Linked DNA regions of Caenorhabditis elegans. The protein of the gene in region 1 purifies or fractionates together with the protein of each later gene. This does not show direct contact. Each region holds a gene or a part of one and is shown on either strand. Other genes may lie near its edges.

Region 1 (8,630 bases):
AAAAATACGATATCTAGGGTTTATTGAATTGCCATGATAGAAATTTCATTATTTTCAATTTATTTCAGCCTTTTTAGTGTGATGAGACTGTGTGGAATACTCGCTGTAAGCTGAAAAACGCGTCGATTCAAATAACCTCATAACGAAGCTCTAACTACAGTACTTCTTTTTTTGAAGGAAGTTAACAAAAGCGTTTACTGAACCGTGTTCTTGTAACAGTGACAGGTAATCCGTTCTCTACTGTGCGGGCTGTTTTCACCTTTTCCCAGTTTTCCACCATTAGCTGCTCAAAATGGATTACTGTAACCGATCTAATTGACCAAACAACAAGATTAAGATTCTTTTCATGTACCTGATGTCACCAGAAAATGACAGATCTATGTATGAATGGGGAATGCTACATTACCACCCCACCACTACCACCAATCGCTCTCACACCAACAAACCACACCACCACTTGATAGGATCAAAAGAATTCCGAGTGAAATAGTATGCAGTGGCACGGAGACACAGACAACGTCGTGTCAACGAAATTCCCGAGGTGTGCAACGGGAGGAAACGGCACCAAGTGGTGGGAAGAAGGAGAAGAAGGGTGCCTTGTAGATAAGATCCTTTTCACGTGAACAACATATGAATTTGTACAGGTGTTCCTTCTCTAAATTGTAGTCAAATGAGTCTCTAGATTACAGGGGTCGGAAGTTTGGATTAGGGGGAGGTGGTTTTTGAGCAAACTTTTCTGAACTTTGAAAAAAAAGTGACCACGTGATTGATAATTTCTCAGCAGCCCATTCCAAAACCTACATTTTATATATTTTTTTTAACGATAAAAAAATCTACCGCAGTCATGGCTGAATGGGCTAGTCATTTATTACAAAATAAATAAAACAGGTTACAAAACTCACAAGCAAACTAAATTTCCAATTGACTTTTGAGGGCATTGGTTTTTTTTCACACGTCTCACTTTTTTCCAGTTTTCAAGTGAGGTAAACAAAAGTGAAAAACTTCAAATATTTCCAGTTCTTTTACGGGAATTTTCCCACCAAGGATCGCTGATAAATTCGTTTCCACAGTTTGATTGTATATTTAATTGGGGATGCGACAACTACAATAAATTTAAAAAAAAAGATTTCTCATAAAAAATAATTTAATGTTGTAAGGTGGCAGGTAAGAGGTATGCATGCAAGCAAGCAGGGGTGAGGCATGCATTCGGTAGACATGAAGTAAGAATGTAGATAGGCATGATGATGATCTGTAAGCAGGTGGGTGTGTGAAAAGTAGGAACATTGGTGGGCACGTAGGCAGTCGTGAACGTGTGTCAGCATGAGATGGACCTGTAGGCAACAACATATGGTATTCATGTGCAAAAGAAGTCAGATAAGAAAATGATGGCTGAATGTTAACTGACTTGTATGCTTTTTTATTAAAATTATGAATGAAGTGACTAGTGTTCATCAGTGTGTTTTCTCATTGAAAACTATTTAACAAAGGCCAAGTCTATCAAAAATCATAAATTTCGACTTGAATATTGGAATATTTCTTATTTCGGTCTAGATTGATTTCGCTATAAAATAGTTGACGAACTTTAGATATTGGGATCTTTATAATGTAAGACAAAAATGGCCCACGTGGATTTTTTTGAAATCAAAGGGAGTGCTCCAAACTACCTCCCACCACACCGTCGTAGGAGACAAGAGAGCCCTGGAGTCGGATAGCAATTTTGATTTATAAAAAAGTTATTTTTAACTTTACGATCGAGCATAATGTTCATTTTGAGTTCTGAAAAAAAATTAGAAGTGTTTTTACAAGTTTTAAAAGACTTAACAGAACATAGTTGTCGACGAAGCTGAAATGCTAGATTCTCCGGTTTTTACAAGTTTTTCCTAATTTGAAATCAATCAGTAGGTATGAGTTCAATAAGAATCCAATAGAAAAACATCCAAAATATTTACACCCTTCATATTCAAAAGAACTGATTTTTAAAGGTTTTGATCGAAACTTCTTTTTTTCTGAAGCATATGGCAAGTTCAAACCTCTTCAATTCTATGAAATTCTCTGTTTCTAAAAAAATAATGCAATTTTTCAGTGTTCGTATTTTTCCAATTAACAATTAAAAACACCAGCAAAAGCTGAAGAGAACCACCCAGTAACATGCATTCAAATTGTTCCTGTGCTCCGTCACGTGCACATCACGGGTCGCTTCAGGTGGGATTTGGCAACGACAAAGACGATTTGGATTAATGAGCAACTGAGCAATCTACACACAAAATGACCATAGCTCAATAACAAACAGACCTCCATCAGATGACGTCATGTCATAAATCTAGTGTACAGTGCACAAAAGAAAGCAGGCGAGATTTGATGACGTGTGACGACGAATCTGCCAATTGCCACGATAATTAGACATATGTAATACTGTCAGGGACTCAAGAAAAAGTGAATATAACTAAAGTTATATTTCCGGTGGCATTTCGGTTCGAGAATGAGTAAAAACTAGGGATATTGGGCCGTTTTTATTTTTGGGAAAGTCTTCGTTTTTTGTGGAAACCAAGTTATTCATAATTTTGGCGAATATCGGGTGCTATCGGGAAACAGTGGGGGAATTATTCGAAATGATTCGGAAAATATTTAACTTTCAGGAAATACGTTAGTCTATCGCTTGAACCTTCTATTGTAGGCAAATTTTCAGGCTTACGTTTTTGCCTACCGTGGATATTGGTTCAATAGTTTTCTTGTAGAAAACATTTTTACAAACCGCTGAGACCATATAAAATCCTTCACATATTCTTCTAGAGTTTATAGATTATTGAGCATTTATTATGAAAGATTAAAAGATGAAAAGCGTAAATGTTACATACAAATGTATCACTAAATTTGAATTATTAAAAATACTTCGAAAGATGCATCATTTTTGGAAATAAATGAAGTGAAAAAGAAAACTATAAAATGGACAGGGAATGATATTTTCGAGTGTATGTGCTTGATTTCAAATTAATGTAATTCAATTGAGATTTCTAGTCATGGAAATGGGGGTAAAGCTTATGATAAAATACTAATGATGGCCGAATACAAGTGGCCGGAAATTTCCATATCTTGGAACATTGTAGCCAGGCTGTGGTGGACGTGGATCCGCATTTCTCAATGGATCAGCAATTCCAAGAAGACGTCCATTTGGTGGATCCTGATCGTCGATTGGATCGATGTTTGCTCGATGAGAATTTACTCCACGACGACGTTCCAACTCTTTTCCACGTCGACTTTGATTCTTTGCCATGTAATCCAAAACAGCAAGTTGTGTCTTCTCAGAAAGATCTCGATAGTATGATTGAAGACGGAATTGAGCTGGTGATTGGGTTACTGCCACGTATTCGACAATAATTCGCTGAAAAATTTAAGATATCAAGACGGGAATATGCAACAAAAGTAAATGGGCTATCACTTATGGTTATCTTAATTTGATGTACTTATATATATTGGATGAGATCTAATTTAAGTTTGGTTATTAAATTAGTTTACTAATTTGGCTGAAACATTTTTGGCAAATTTACAAAGTTGCCCCCCCCCCTCCTTTTAATATGAAAATCCAACTTTTTGATTTGATATAAAATGAATATAGAAATGTAGAAAACTATTCGTTCAATCTGAAAATAATGTTTATTTTTGCTCTAAACTATTTGAAAAGCACTTCAAATACTGCGTTAAAGTTGCCGTTTCCAGTTAAAAAGTTTTTGGCAAATGATAGCTTTCGAGTACTAGTTGAGGTGTTTTTCAAAATTTTAAACTCAAATTAATATTTTTTCCGATGGTACAACCCATTTTCTTCATTTCTATACCAGTTTTTCATTCATTCAATATAATGAATTATAACATTGAAACAAACAGTTTTGTAAGTTTTGCAGAAGATTTGCCGCCCACGCTTGTTGTAGATACCGGGAGCAATTCATAGTAAATTCCCCACAAGTCCACGTTTGAACGTACCAAAACTCTTTGCATCTTATACTTTTCCACGTAAGAGAAACATTTCTCCGTCTTCTTCTGATATTCATGATAATGTGCACACATGAACATCTCACACGCATCCACAATTGGTTGACATTGATAACGATCTGCGAGTTGGAGAAGATAGTCGAGGCTTTTCTCTGCAAATTTGATAATAATTCGATTCTCAAAATTGTGGAACATACTTGTAACAGGTTGTCTGTGTGGATAAATACATCTGAGGAAAGTTATAATCTCACGGAACTTCTCTTTCATCTCATAGATTTCTTTATCTTCACCCAATTCTCCATAGAATAATGCTTTAAAGAATGGAGACATCATTGACAGATATCTTTTATTCACACGAATAAGACGATCTTCAACTTTCAACAAAGCATTCTCTTCTTCTGGTAGAACATCAAAATAGTCGTAGAGCATTCCGAAGTTCATAGTTTTAATGACATTCACTGTGATTTCTACTCTCATACTTCTCAGCTTCTCTCGAACCATATGATCTTGAAGCTTCAATGGACGAAAGTAGACATGATTGGATCCTGTATATCGTCCAGTAAACTTTTCGCTTCTCACAGAGTTTGTAACGTGAGCCCGAATTTCGAATTCAACTTCCGCTGACCAGGTGGCTGGAGTTTTGAAGTAAGCAGCAAAGCATTCGAAGGAATTTGCACGCAACTCAATTTGCCTGACAATTCAGTTTTGTTATGGGATTATATTATTTCTCAGAAGCAACGTTGATCGATTTCCGTGCAAAAATACGGTTTCTCGAAACGACAATAAAGAGTACTGTAGTTTCAACTTCTTAAAAATTATGTTTTTTTTTAACCATAAAGCCAAAATTCAGCGTTTTTTCCAGAAAAGTGAACAATTTATCGTTTAGAAGTAAAACTGACCATTTCATACACTTCAAATGAATCCAATATCTGTAGACTTTGTGCTCCTCGTCTAGGACCAAATCAAGAGTCTTGCTACTCTTAAAATCATCACTTAAATCCACAATATCCACTGGATACTCTTCAGCGGCAGCCTTGTTCGGAGCCATTTTCAGACTTTACCCTGAAATTTTCGATAAGATTTTGTTGGGGAAAAAAGAATCTCATAAAAGGAGAAAAGGCATGAACTGAAAAAGAAGCACGTGGCAGACCGAAAAAAACGGGGAAATCGATAGAAAAGGGTTGTAGGGGCAAGGAGACATCTAAACAACACACATGCTATATGCTGCCCCAGTATTCTGCGTCTCTTCTCTCTCTCTCTCTCTCTATAAGAACGAGAAAGCAAAAACATGATAAAACCACTTAAAAAAATAAGAAAGCTTTTATTTTAAATAAAAATTTAAAAATAAGAACATTTTAGTTATGCTTCAATTTTAAAGTGGCCACAATGTTGGTGAAAAAAAATTAATTTTTAAAAAAGTTCACAATTTTATTGGAAATTTGCTTATAAAGTCGATATACGTCGAAAGAAACACTAAAAAACAACAAAAAACAGAAAAGACCTACTAAAACGAGCAACTCACCATATTCCAAATGAAATGTCAAAACTCTTGAAGTGAACACAATCTTCGATCTTCCTCCACTGATCGGAGAGCGCGCCAGCAGGTGCTGTTGGCGCGCGACCGGTGCATTGACGCGATTCTCGTGCAAAATTTCGAATGCAATTTTCGCCTTTTAAGGGACAGTTTTCAGTTATTTTACGTTTAAAAACTTTTAAATTATTTAAAAAAAAACAACAGAAAAACTTTAAATATTGTTGTCTGTCTGATGTTCATAAAAATTCGTAAGATAATCCATTATTTTTCAAGGGTATTAATATTTTAGTTTCTTGAGTGTATTTCTTTGAATATTGTTCATTGTAAAAGGATTATGGTTTCCATTTCTTTTTAGTGATTTCATTAATAAATTTTTGCAATTGTTTATTACAATTTGAAAATGGTTTCGCGCAAGCTATCGAAGTTTAGGATGTTGTTTTCTAAATCTTTTCTAAAAAAAGTTTTTTTCCTTCCAACTTTAATCTTTCTTCCATATAATCAATATTGATTGTAGATCGATGTCTCGTTCAGGCGAGGCTTATGCGCAGGAGTTGAACCGCAAAAGGGTCGCAAACCAGCGTGCCGCGGCAGCCGAAGACAACGATGAGAATAAGGGAAACGGAAATAAAGTGGCCTTCGGAGCCGCTGGTAATTTCGACACGGTTAGTGAATTCTAATACTTTATTTGAAAATTTGAAAATTCTCTATTACTTTTTGAATCTTTTCAATTTCAGGATGTTTACGGAAGTGTTCGTGGTGAAAATCGGGATAGTTACCTAGACTCGATTGGAACCGGAGAAGAAGATGACGTCGATGAGGATTCGATGCCGAGTGTACAAAAGAAAAGTACAAATTATGCACAGCCACACAAATTCATCGAAGAGGTGGCTGCTGCCTCCGAGGACACTGATCCATTCGCAGATACTCGCACAAAAACCATCGCAGAACGACAATCCAAGTATCACGAAAGAGCTATGAGGAGACAGATCTCTCCAGACAGAGCGGATGCTTTTGGTAAGATCGAAAATCATTTTGACTTTAATTAAATTTATTCTTTCAGTTGATCAAACTCCTGACAATCGGAATCGAGGTTACGCAGAAGTTATGCGTGATCAGATGTACCATGAAGAGAAAGGGCGTGTTGAACGGGAGCTTGCCGATCGAGCAAAAGCTGGAGAGCTTCATGTTACTGGACAGCCAGAGAAAAAGAAAGGAAGATGGGATGCTGAAGCTCCATCAACTGATGCATCTTCTGATAATCTTGGTGCAGCTTCTGCAACTCCATCTCAGGGTTCTGCTCCACGAAAAAGATTAGGATTTTCGAAGATTAGTGCAGATGCAGCAACACCAAGAGCTGCTAGATGGGATGAAACACCGGCTCACTCGACTGGAGCAGCTGATGCAACTCCTTCTGTGGATAAATGGTCAACGACTCCGGCAGCACAGACCCCGAGAAGAAATCGTTGGGATGAAACTCCAAAAGAGAATCTCAATGATGGATCAATGACACCGGGATGGGGAATGGAGACTCCTGCTAGAGGAGGATCAGATGATGTTAAGATTGAGGATACTCCATCCGCATCGAAGCGTCGTTCACGATGGGATCTGACACCATCACAAACTCCGAATGTGGCAGCAGCTACTCCACTTCATTCCGGATTACAGACACCATCATTCACACCGAGCCACCCTTCACAGACTCCAATCGGAGCAATGACTCCAGGTTTATTACAAAATATTGTAATTAATATAAAATTAATATAAAATATATTCAGGTGGAGCAACTCCAATTGGAACGGCAGCAATGGGAATGAAAACACCAGCTCCTCATATGATTCCAATGACACCTGAACAAATGCAAATTTACCGATGGGAGAAGGAAATTGATGACAGAAACCGTCCATTGACTGATGAAGAACTCGATTCACTATTCCCACCTGGCTACAAGGTTCTGGTTCCTCCAATGAACTACATTCCTCTGAGAACACCATCACGGAAGTTGATGGCCACTCCAACTCCAATGGGTGGAGCTGCTGGTGGAGGATTCTTTATGCCTGGAACACCAGATAGAGATGGAATCGGAGAGAAAGGAGTCGGTGGTCTGGTGGATACTCAACCTAAGAATGCAGAATTACCACCTCTAAAGCCAGATGATATGCAATATTTCGATAAGTTGTTGATGGATGTAGATGAGAGTCAACTCACGAAAGAAGAGAAAAATGAACGGGAAATTATGGAGCATTTATTGAAAATCAAAAATGGAACCCCGCCAATGAGAAAGAGCGGATTGAGAAAAATAACAGAAAACGCGCGAAAGTACGGAGCAGGTCCACTTTTCAATCAAATTCTTCCACTTCTCATGTCACCATCGCTGGAGGATCAAGAACGGCATTTGATGGTAAAAGTTATTGATCGAATTCTATACAAATTGGATGATCTCGTCAGACCATATGTGCATAAGATTCTTGTCGTCATTGAGCCACTTCTTATCGATGAGGATTATTATGCAAGAGTTGAAGGTTTGAAAATTTAGAATAAATTTTAAAATTTAAAAATTAAATATTTTCAGGTCGTGAGATCATTTCCAACCTTGCAAAGGCCGCTGGATTGGCAACAATGATTTCTACAATGAGGCCTGATATTGATAATGTTGATGAGTAAGTTTGTCGACAGTTTTGTTGATTTTTCAATTAAACAAACACCAAATATATGGTTGTTCAATTTTCCCTGGAAAACAGTAAAAAAATTGAAGAAATATTAAAAATTAGTTTGAAACTATAGAAAATCTGGCAACTTTTGGCCATTTTTGAGAACTTTCTGAAACGTTCCAGCTGAAATTAATGTTAATTTCAGATTAATCAAGTGATTTTCTATAGGTTTACACTAGTTTTTAATTTAAAAAAGTCCGAAAAGACCGAATTTTTTCAAAAAAAGTTTTAAAAATGTATTTTTTAGATTTTTAAAAATCTCACTATGAAATTCGGTATTTGCGGGTCAGTTTTAATGAATTTAAAGCAGAAAAAACATCACAAAGCTTTTAATCAAACCCAAAAATTTGCAGATATGTCCGTAATACAACCGCTCGTGCATTCGCTGTCGTCGCCTCAGCTCT
Region 2 (8,309 bases), on another chromosome or scaffold:
TTTCTCATAGGTTTTTTTATTGGGAAACTGATGAAAATTATTTGAATTCATAATAAAATAAATTCGTATTTAGCATTTGAAAATTTGCACCAATGTATTATTTAATTTTTTTTTTCGAAAATTTAACGCATTTTCTCTCTAAAAACTCGAAATTTAGTGTGTTCTAAACAACAGTAAGCATACAATACCTTTGTTCAAAATTGACGTGCTTTCTGAACCAATATGGTTAGTTTCAAAAATTTTTGTATTATAGGATAGAAATATTTGGAAATAAATTTTAAAACCAAACTTATGCCTTTCTCTTTTAGTATCCCAGCTAGGTAATATTTTAGTATTTGCCCAAATCCTTGAAGTAAGGAGTATATAATTTTTGAAAAACAATAAAACTCCAGATAATTCATAGTTTTTTCTCGAAAGAAAATTTTTGAGATTAGTTATTGAACTTCATTTTTGAACATTATTCGTTGAAAAACACTCGCTTTGTCTTTATTTTCAAAAAAATTCCGATTTCCCCAACCAGAAAAAAAAACAGATAGAAGAAATTTCTCCTTAAATTTCATTGTCCATCTCTCTTGGAAACACATTATCTATCAAATGAAAAACGCATTTTTTTTCCTGGCAGAAAAATGAAATTGGTTAGATTACACTGGTTAGGTTTGAAGGTGTAACTTTCGCTTTCTCAGCAACTTTCAGTATAAAAGGAAACGGTCACCATTTAGAAAGACATCAGTTCATCAACATGGGCAAGCTCATTGTGGTTGGATCCTGCGGAGTACTTGTGTGCGTTCTTGCCTCGCTTTACACCATCGGAAACCTTCTCAATGAGATCGAGGAGCTTCAAGTTGAGTTCCAGGATGGTATGGTTGAATTTAGAGTAAGTTTTACATAAAGGAAGTTAGTGTTGTTATCAATTCACTTTGTGTTCAGGCTATCACCCAAGACACCTGGGCTCGTATGGTGAGCAAGCACATCAACCCAACCGGACACACAAATGCTCCACCAACCTTTGAGACTCTCTTCGGAGCCCGTACCGCTCGTCAAGCTGGATTCGAGCAATGTAACTGCGGACCAAAATCCGAGGGTTGCCCAGCTGGACCACCAGGACCACCAGGAGAGGGTGGACAGAAGGGAAATCCAGGACACGATGGAGACGATGGAAAGCCAGGAGCTCCTGGAGTTATTGTTGCCATCACCCACGATATTCCAGGAGGATGCATCAAGTGCCCACCAGGACGTCCAGGACCAAAAGGACCATCAGGACTTCCAGGATCTGCTGGACCAGCCGGAGGAAACGGAAGACGCGGACCACCAGGACCAGTTGGAGGACCAGGAGAGCAAGGACCACAGGGAGATGCAGGAAGACCAGGAGCCGCCGGACGTCCAGGACCAGCAGGACCACGTGGAGAACCAGGAACCGAGTACAAGCCAGGACAGCCAGGACGTCCAGGACCACAAGGACCACGCGGAGAAACCGGACCAGCCGGAAATCCAGGAGCACCAGGAAACGATGGAGAGGCTGGAAAGAACGGAAACGCCGGAAGACCAGGACCACCAGGGCATCCAGGAAAGAATGGAGTTCCAGGACAAAAGGGAGAGGATGCCGCACCAGGACCAGATGCTGGATATTGTCCATGCCCATCTCGTGCAGCTTACAAGGCTTAATTCTGCCTTTCTCTGTCTTTTTTATAAATTTTCGAACATTCCAAATTGTGTTCTGTTTCTGCACTTTTTTTTAAATTGCAATTTCACATGCAAATCAAAATACTTCAGCTTTTCAAATCTGGCAAATTTCTTTTTTTTTTTAATTTGGAACACTTTTTAAAAACCAACTCTAAAAACCAACTACTAGAATTATTTACCAAAATAGAAAATTATACCAAGATTGTCCTTCGAAATATAGTCCAGTTAAAAAAATTTTTTTGCCGGGCAGCCCCAGTCCACCTGAAAATAAAGCCACCTACGTACCGTTTCATTATACAGAATTCCTCCATTTTCACAAAACCTTGCTGGCGTCGTCGAAACGTGCACGGAAGGTGTTGTGAATGTAATTTCACTTAGGTCACAGCTAAAGTCGTAGATTCTCTGGAACCTGTTTCCATCACTATCGTATCCTAGAAACCGACAATGAGAGAAGGGAGAAAATAGAAAGGAGAAATACCTCTGAACTTGGCATGATACAAGTTTTGAGACGTACAGTTATAAGATTGTTGAGTGATATGAGGGGTACTGCAGCCGTATCTGAAAAATGGTTTTTCTGCCAAAGCAATTATGTTCATGATTCATCTTTGTTAAATCTAAATGTTCAGGCTTTATTTTTGAATTAAAAAATGCTTCTGCAATATAAACATGTATTTTTTTCAACAGAAAAAAGTTTACTTTCCTTCAATTTTTTTGGATCATCCAAAATTGAATAATGTAGAAAAATTGATTCTATTGAATAATGTAGAAAAAAATTACTCAATTCCAAATTTTTATCACTCTCAAACATTCACCTCAAGTTCAAATCCATTTTCTGATCGAATAGGCCGTTTACATAAAGATGCACCTCATCGGGATGAATTGGAAATTCTTCACTCTCGACTTTAAATGCTAAAAATGCTGCCTGATTTTCAAGTGGGAAACGGAATATTCCTTGATTTGCAGTGGAAAATATTACTTTCTGAACGTCATCGTCACGAACATCCTCTACAAACCCACCATCAACTGTCAGCTTTGTTGGAGCTCGGACTTCAAATATACACGGTCTGAATGATTTTATTTTTAAATGAGATAAGATTTCAAGAGTCTTTTTTTGATTTTTTTTTCACAATTTGGGTCATCTTGTTTTAATTGTGTGCTCACTTGTTCAAATCTGCAGAGAGCTGAACCGTATACGCTCCAGTTCCGTGAACATTCTTTCCGTTGCAGATAAGGTGAATTGTTTGAGTGACGTCCGTGGTGATATCTTTGCATGTGGACACTTCGCCTCCAATCGGATTATAAACTGTTGCCCGCGGATTGAGGGCGTCGAGTGTATTGATAATTACAAAGAACTCTTCGATAAAATTGTCGACGTAAAAAGTGAAAGTGTCGGAGCAAGTCGCACTGAAGATATGTGTATGTATTATGAAACATGTTATTAATCTGGTATTGGTTCTCGAATAACGTAATGAAAATCCAGATAGAGTTTTAGATTATTATTAAATCGCAAATAGAAACCGGAAAAATGAAAAATGGCAATTTTACTATCAACAACAAGTTTCACGTTTTTGACAATTTTCGAGTATTTTTTTTCGAGTACTTTAAAACACGCCTATGGTACCAAAATAACCGAATATCATGATTAAAAAATTCAAAAAAAATTTCTAAATTTTATATGATTTTTTGAAAATTGAAAAAAATCTCAGTTTTTGCCTAATTCCGATTTGAATTTCCGCCTATTGAAGTTGTTCGATGGAGCGCACTTGCACGTTTTAATTTTAATTTATTGTTATTTTGAAAGAAAATGCATGCATTTAAACGATTTCGAACTTGAATTTACAGATTTCACAGACTCACGCTTGTGAATTAGCTTTTTAATCAAAAATTAGCATTTATTTTGACTTTTTCGTCAAATTTCAGACAAAACTACATTGAAAACATGGAAAATTGGTGAAAAATATGACAAAATAACAATAAATTAAAATTAAAACGTGCAAGTGCGCTCCATCGAACAAATCCAATTGGCGTAAACTCAAATCGGAATTAGGCAAAAACTGAGATTTTTTCAATTTTCAAATTTTAAAATTAGAAAAAATTTTTGCATTTTTTTATCATGATATTCGGTCATTTTGGTACCATAGGCGTGTTTTAAAGAAATTTCCCCACTGGCGCCACTCCACCTTTAACTAGAATTAACATTTTCCAGATTCTATTCCTAAATTTTAATGAAAACACTGAGTGAAAATGTCCCACAGGCTCAATTTTTAGAACTGCTGGTTAGCAATCTCCGAGCACTCCACGATTTTCTACAATATTCCCTACTAAAAATGTATACCTGAAATCACTCTCCACTAAATCACCAAATTTTGCAGTACCGTCATGAGGCAGTATATCAATTGACTTATTGTAGCATGTCACTGGAGAGGTTTGATCCAACAGTTTCGGTCTTGAAGAGAAGGTAGGTTGAACCCGTTGAGAAGGTTCCGATAGATTTAGTGCAACAAGTTGTTTGAGTTTCGAATTCACTGAAATTTAATCCCTCTGGCTAAAACTGGTCAAAAAACGTTTTCTGTAAAGATTTGAAGAGGTTCTATTAAATGTGTTGGCTTGGCCTAGCCAGAAAGAGAATCCACTGGCGTTTCCACCAAATTCACTCTTGAAAAAATTGTTCTTAGTTGGTTATTTAATTCATCAAATAAAAATTCCCGCTAGAAGCACAAAAGTGAGCTCAATACCTTTCGTGTAGTTGTGACTCGGACCAGAACTTATGATGTAAACATTTTTAAGTAAGCCTGCTGTGTTTTTTCAATATGTCAAACTTTTGCCAATATTTTCAATTTTACGTGTTTTTTACTTAAACTTACAGCTTTTCGTTAGTTCGCCGTGTTGACTTTTATTGGGAATACTTACTCCACTACAGACCCGCAGTAGTAGAATACTTGTAATTACAAATTTGAGCATTTTACTGAAAAATCGTCTTTATTTAGAAGATATTTCTTAATGTAATAATTAAATAAAACTAAATAAAATTGTTATCAGGTTTTTTTTGTTTGAAAAAGTTAGTTTATCCAATTGAGGCTCTTAAATTAGTTGTCACTGATAATGCGATTATACTCTTCCATTGGCAAGTTGTTCTCATCTAGAATTCGAATAGAGCAGAGGTTGATGTGTTGTGAAAATTCAGTTTAAAATGTTTACATTTCAGGAACTTCTGGAAAAGACAGTGGGAAACAGAAATAAAAATGGTTAAGCGTTCCACTTTGCTTCCAGCTGTTGTTTTTACAGTCGAGAACTTGCAGGTTTTTTGTTACTTACAAGTTTTTTTATTAATCAAACAATTTTTCATGTGATTTATTCAAGTGAGTTATGTTTTAACAGTTGTATTACACTGGCAACGTTCTATAAAGCTTTATAAATTTTTTAAACCACCAATGAAACTTTGTTTTCACTTTAAAAAATGTTTATTTATGCTATTTATAGGATTATTGCAAAGTTTCCGCAAAAGTATAAATAAAACTGCTTTAAAAAGATTTTGAGGCAATTGTTAAGACGTTTTAGGCTGAACAAAAATTCTGAAATATTTAAAAAAAAAAATTTATTAAATTGTTTTGCCTATTTTTAGACTTTATTAAAAGCATTACAAAATTGCAAACTTCCTCATTTGTAATAGTTGCAAACGTTACAAAAGCAGTGAAAACGTGCTCGGAGAATATCAAATCGACTTCTTTATATTCCATTGTTATTTTTTGATGAAAACCCGCTTTAAGTTCTTATAAATTCAATTTGAAAGTCTGAAAGTGAGTTAAATTACTTTCCTAGTGAGTATAACTGGACTGCATGTTGAAGTGGACGACCTCTTCCAAGGCAAACCTACAACGTGTACGTCCTTGCAAGATTTGACTGACAATCCAAGTTTATGGAAAACTTCTTTTCTTTTCAGTTCTGCAATATTTCGAAAATTCGAATAAATTATCCAGCTTTGAAATAATAATTGTTTTTTTTAGTCGAAACTTAGATTGCACCTGACAAGTTGTTAGCGGAAGGAAGTAACTTCAGTGCCAGATTTTAGAACGAGTTTTCACCAACCAAGTTTTTTGTCGCTCTAGATAGTGTTCTGAATATTTTTTTACAAAAAATTTGAAAAGGAAAACTCAACTCGTACCCCTGACATTTTTCTCAGACATTTTTTTTGGTGCACGCGTGAAATGGCTCAAAACTTTATTGTTAAAATAGGGAGCTTTTTTCTCCAAAAATAGCTTTTTAAAAGTTATAATTTCTTGAAAAGTCTGAAAATTTTCTCCTACAATCATGTCTGTTTTTATTTTTGTGTGCCAATTTTTTAAATAAAAAATTGACCATTTTTTGTAAAATTTTTTTTCTGAAAAAAAAAACTTTATTTCTCAAAACATTCAAATAAAAAGAAATAAACGTGGTTGTATGTCAAAATTCTGAATAAAAGTTTTTGGCATATAAAGGGCTGAAGCACAACTGAAAAGCAGAGAAAAGTTTAAATTTGACAAAAAAAATTGAGAAAACGGTGGGCAAGATTGATATTGGAAGTGGTAGACATAAAATTAAGATGAATAATATTGGAAAGTAGTGTGACGGTAAGAAGGGAAACATTGAAAAACCATTAAAACTATGTGATCTGTGGAACATTGAAAGAGACAAAGAAAGCGATGGGAAATTGTTGATTGAAAGAAAGAAGGAAATTAAAGCCGGCTTAATTTCCCATCAAGGTTAAACAAGACAAGAAGCGACTAGAAGTTTTGCAGAACGAAAGATGCGTCGAGATATACAGCTAGCGATTAGGTGTAGCTTACAGACAAAAATCACAGCTGGAATGAAAAATGAAGTAGTGATTTTGCTCTTCGTTGAAGAGAAATTGTGGGGCACTGAAGATCAGGAATTCAAGGGGTACACCAGTATGACGGTTAAAGAAGGAACTATTGATGTGAAAAACTTAATGTTCTTTCGAAATTAAAGATAATAAGATTTTGAAAAAAGTTGGAAATTTTAATTTTATACGAAAACCTTCTGCTCAAGCTTTTCCTGCATTCCATTCAACAATCGCTTGCATTTTGCACGTCGATTTTTGAACCAGATCTGCAATTCGAATTCGATAACTAGTAATCAGTATTAATATAGAATATTACCTTCACATTGTGCTGACTAATATGCGGATAATTCTCTCGATAAGCGCAGTTGTTCAAGCATTGTGTGTACTGATCGATTTGCATCCATGTCGGGTGAGGATTCTCTTCGAACCATTTTTCGAGGACGGGTAGCTCGGTGAGTGGGTCGAACATCAGGCGTGAGCGAGCCGCTGAAAACACTAAAACGGAGATTATTTGCTTTATCGTTGAATTTTTTCAAACGTTCCGCGTCAGTGATTTTATCGAAAAATAGAAGTAAAATTCCACCTTAAAGTTTTCTTGTCGAAAAGATAGAGAATTTTTATGCAGTCATTTTTCATATGCATAGCAAACGCAATCTAAGAGCGTTTTAGAGATAGCAACCAATATAGGTTTTCAGACTGAGTATCATGAACATGGCCACCTTCTCGATAAGTTTGAGCCAGTACAAAATCCCTAGAATATTTCTCAAAATCAAGTTTGCAGTTGATTTTCTGTTTTATTTCTGTAAACACAATACCTAGCCTCATTTTTTTTTCCTCAGATCTCAGTGATCGTAATGGTTGTCTGTGCGAAATTCGACGCCCCACATTTCTCCCTTTGTTATGTGTCTTCGCGCACTTTGTGTATGTCTATGTGTGTTTGTGTGTGTGTGCTCGCTTCTAATTTATGAGTTCTTGGTTCAACCCATCTCCCTCTCTTTTCCGTTAGCCTGTCTGTTTTAAAGCTCTTTGTTGTACCTGATGAGTTGGCGTTTTGCATGGAGTTGGTGGATGATGAGTGGGTGCTGAATGCTCCGAGGTCGAGCCCGCTGAGAAGCTTTGGGGAGGTCGAGGACAATGATTCGCGCATTGAGTTTGCCATATCCGGGGAGGATGCAATTGAATCCTGTAGGAAATGTTGCTTGTTTTGGGATGAATAATTTTTAAAGGTGGACCATAATTGTGTCGAAAAATATTTTTAATTGGCGCTCAGCCGACGCTGACAGTTTGGAATAAATTCAGATTTTCGGCCGTAGTGTTAGGTCTTTATAACCTTATCGGTAATATTTAGCAATTTGGGAGATGTTATCTTTAATGTGAATCAGAATCGAAATAGCCGAAAATCCGTTTTTAGCGTGATTTTTCAAAGCTTTTCAGCACGAGCAACGCTAATCAACCTAACTATGGCACAAACAGTCAAACGTAACTTACAATTTCCGGTTCTGGTTTAATATTGATGGAAAACAAAGTATCTTGAATAGTTTCATCTGAATTGCTATGAATCTCATCATCGGCTGGAGATGGCGAGTCGGAGCCGCCGACAATCTTGGTTTCATCCAGTTTGTCGTAAAAATCAAATTTTTGACGTTGTTCTCCAAACAGGGACTGGAGCAAGTTGAGTTGGAATCCCGGGAGCAGCTGCGCCGCTGTCTGAGCTGACGAGACCTGCACTAGGTCTACTGGAGCTAAGGTACGGGAACTCGAGCGTTTTTGTGTGAACCAATTGCAAATC

The links.
Region 2: the proteins of R10E4.1 (region 1) and hrg-11.4 fractionate together in Caenorhabditis elegans (co-fractionation; one large-scale study listed by BioGRID). This does not show direct contact.

Annotation. Positions count from the first base shown.
Region 1 is NC_003281.10:4,266,673-4,275,302, reverse strand, and holds R10E4.1 (BTB domain-containing protein), read right to left. Parts: upstream 5,047-8,630; 5' UTR 5,033-5,046; coding exon 4,884-5,032; intron 4,676-4,883; coding exon 4,182-4,675; intron 4,137-4,181; coding exon 3,976-4,136; intron 3,380-3,975; coding exon 3,050-3,379; 3' UTR 2,800-3,049; downstream 1-2,799. Other genes in the region: sftb-1 (Splicing factor 3B subunit 1 domain-containing protein), read left to right, coding at 6,037-6,180, 6,253-6,532, 6,579-7,241, 7,294-8,037, 8,088-8,175, 8,580-8,630.
Region 2 is NC_003284.9:420,985-429,293, forward strand, and holds the start of hrg-11.4 (VWFA domain-containing protein), read right to left. Parts: upstream 4,652-8,309; 5' UTR 4,642-4,651; coding exon 4,545-4,641; intron 4,206-4,544; coding exon 4,016-4,205; intron 3,085-4,015; coding exon 2,842-3,084; intron 2,745-2,841; coding exon 2,493-2,744; intron 2,239-2,492; coding exon 2,159-2,238; intron 2,112-2,158; coding exon 1,966-2,111; intron 1,708-1,965; exon of another isoform or gene 1,663-1,707; coding exon of another isoform or gene 928-1,662; intron 875-927; coding exon of another isoform or gene 740-874; exon of another isoform or gene 723-739; intron 1-722. Other genes in the region: col-19 (Cuticle collagen 19), read left to right, coding at 740-874, 928-1,662; Homeobox protein dve-1, read right to left, coding at 6,703-6,786, 6,837-7,015, 7,556-7,703, 8,009-8,308.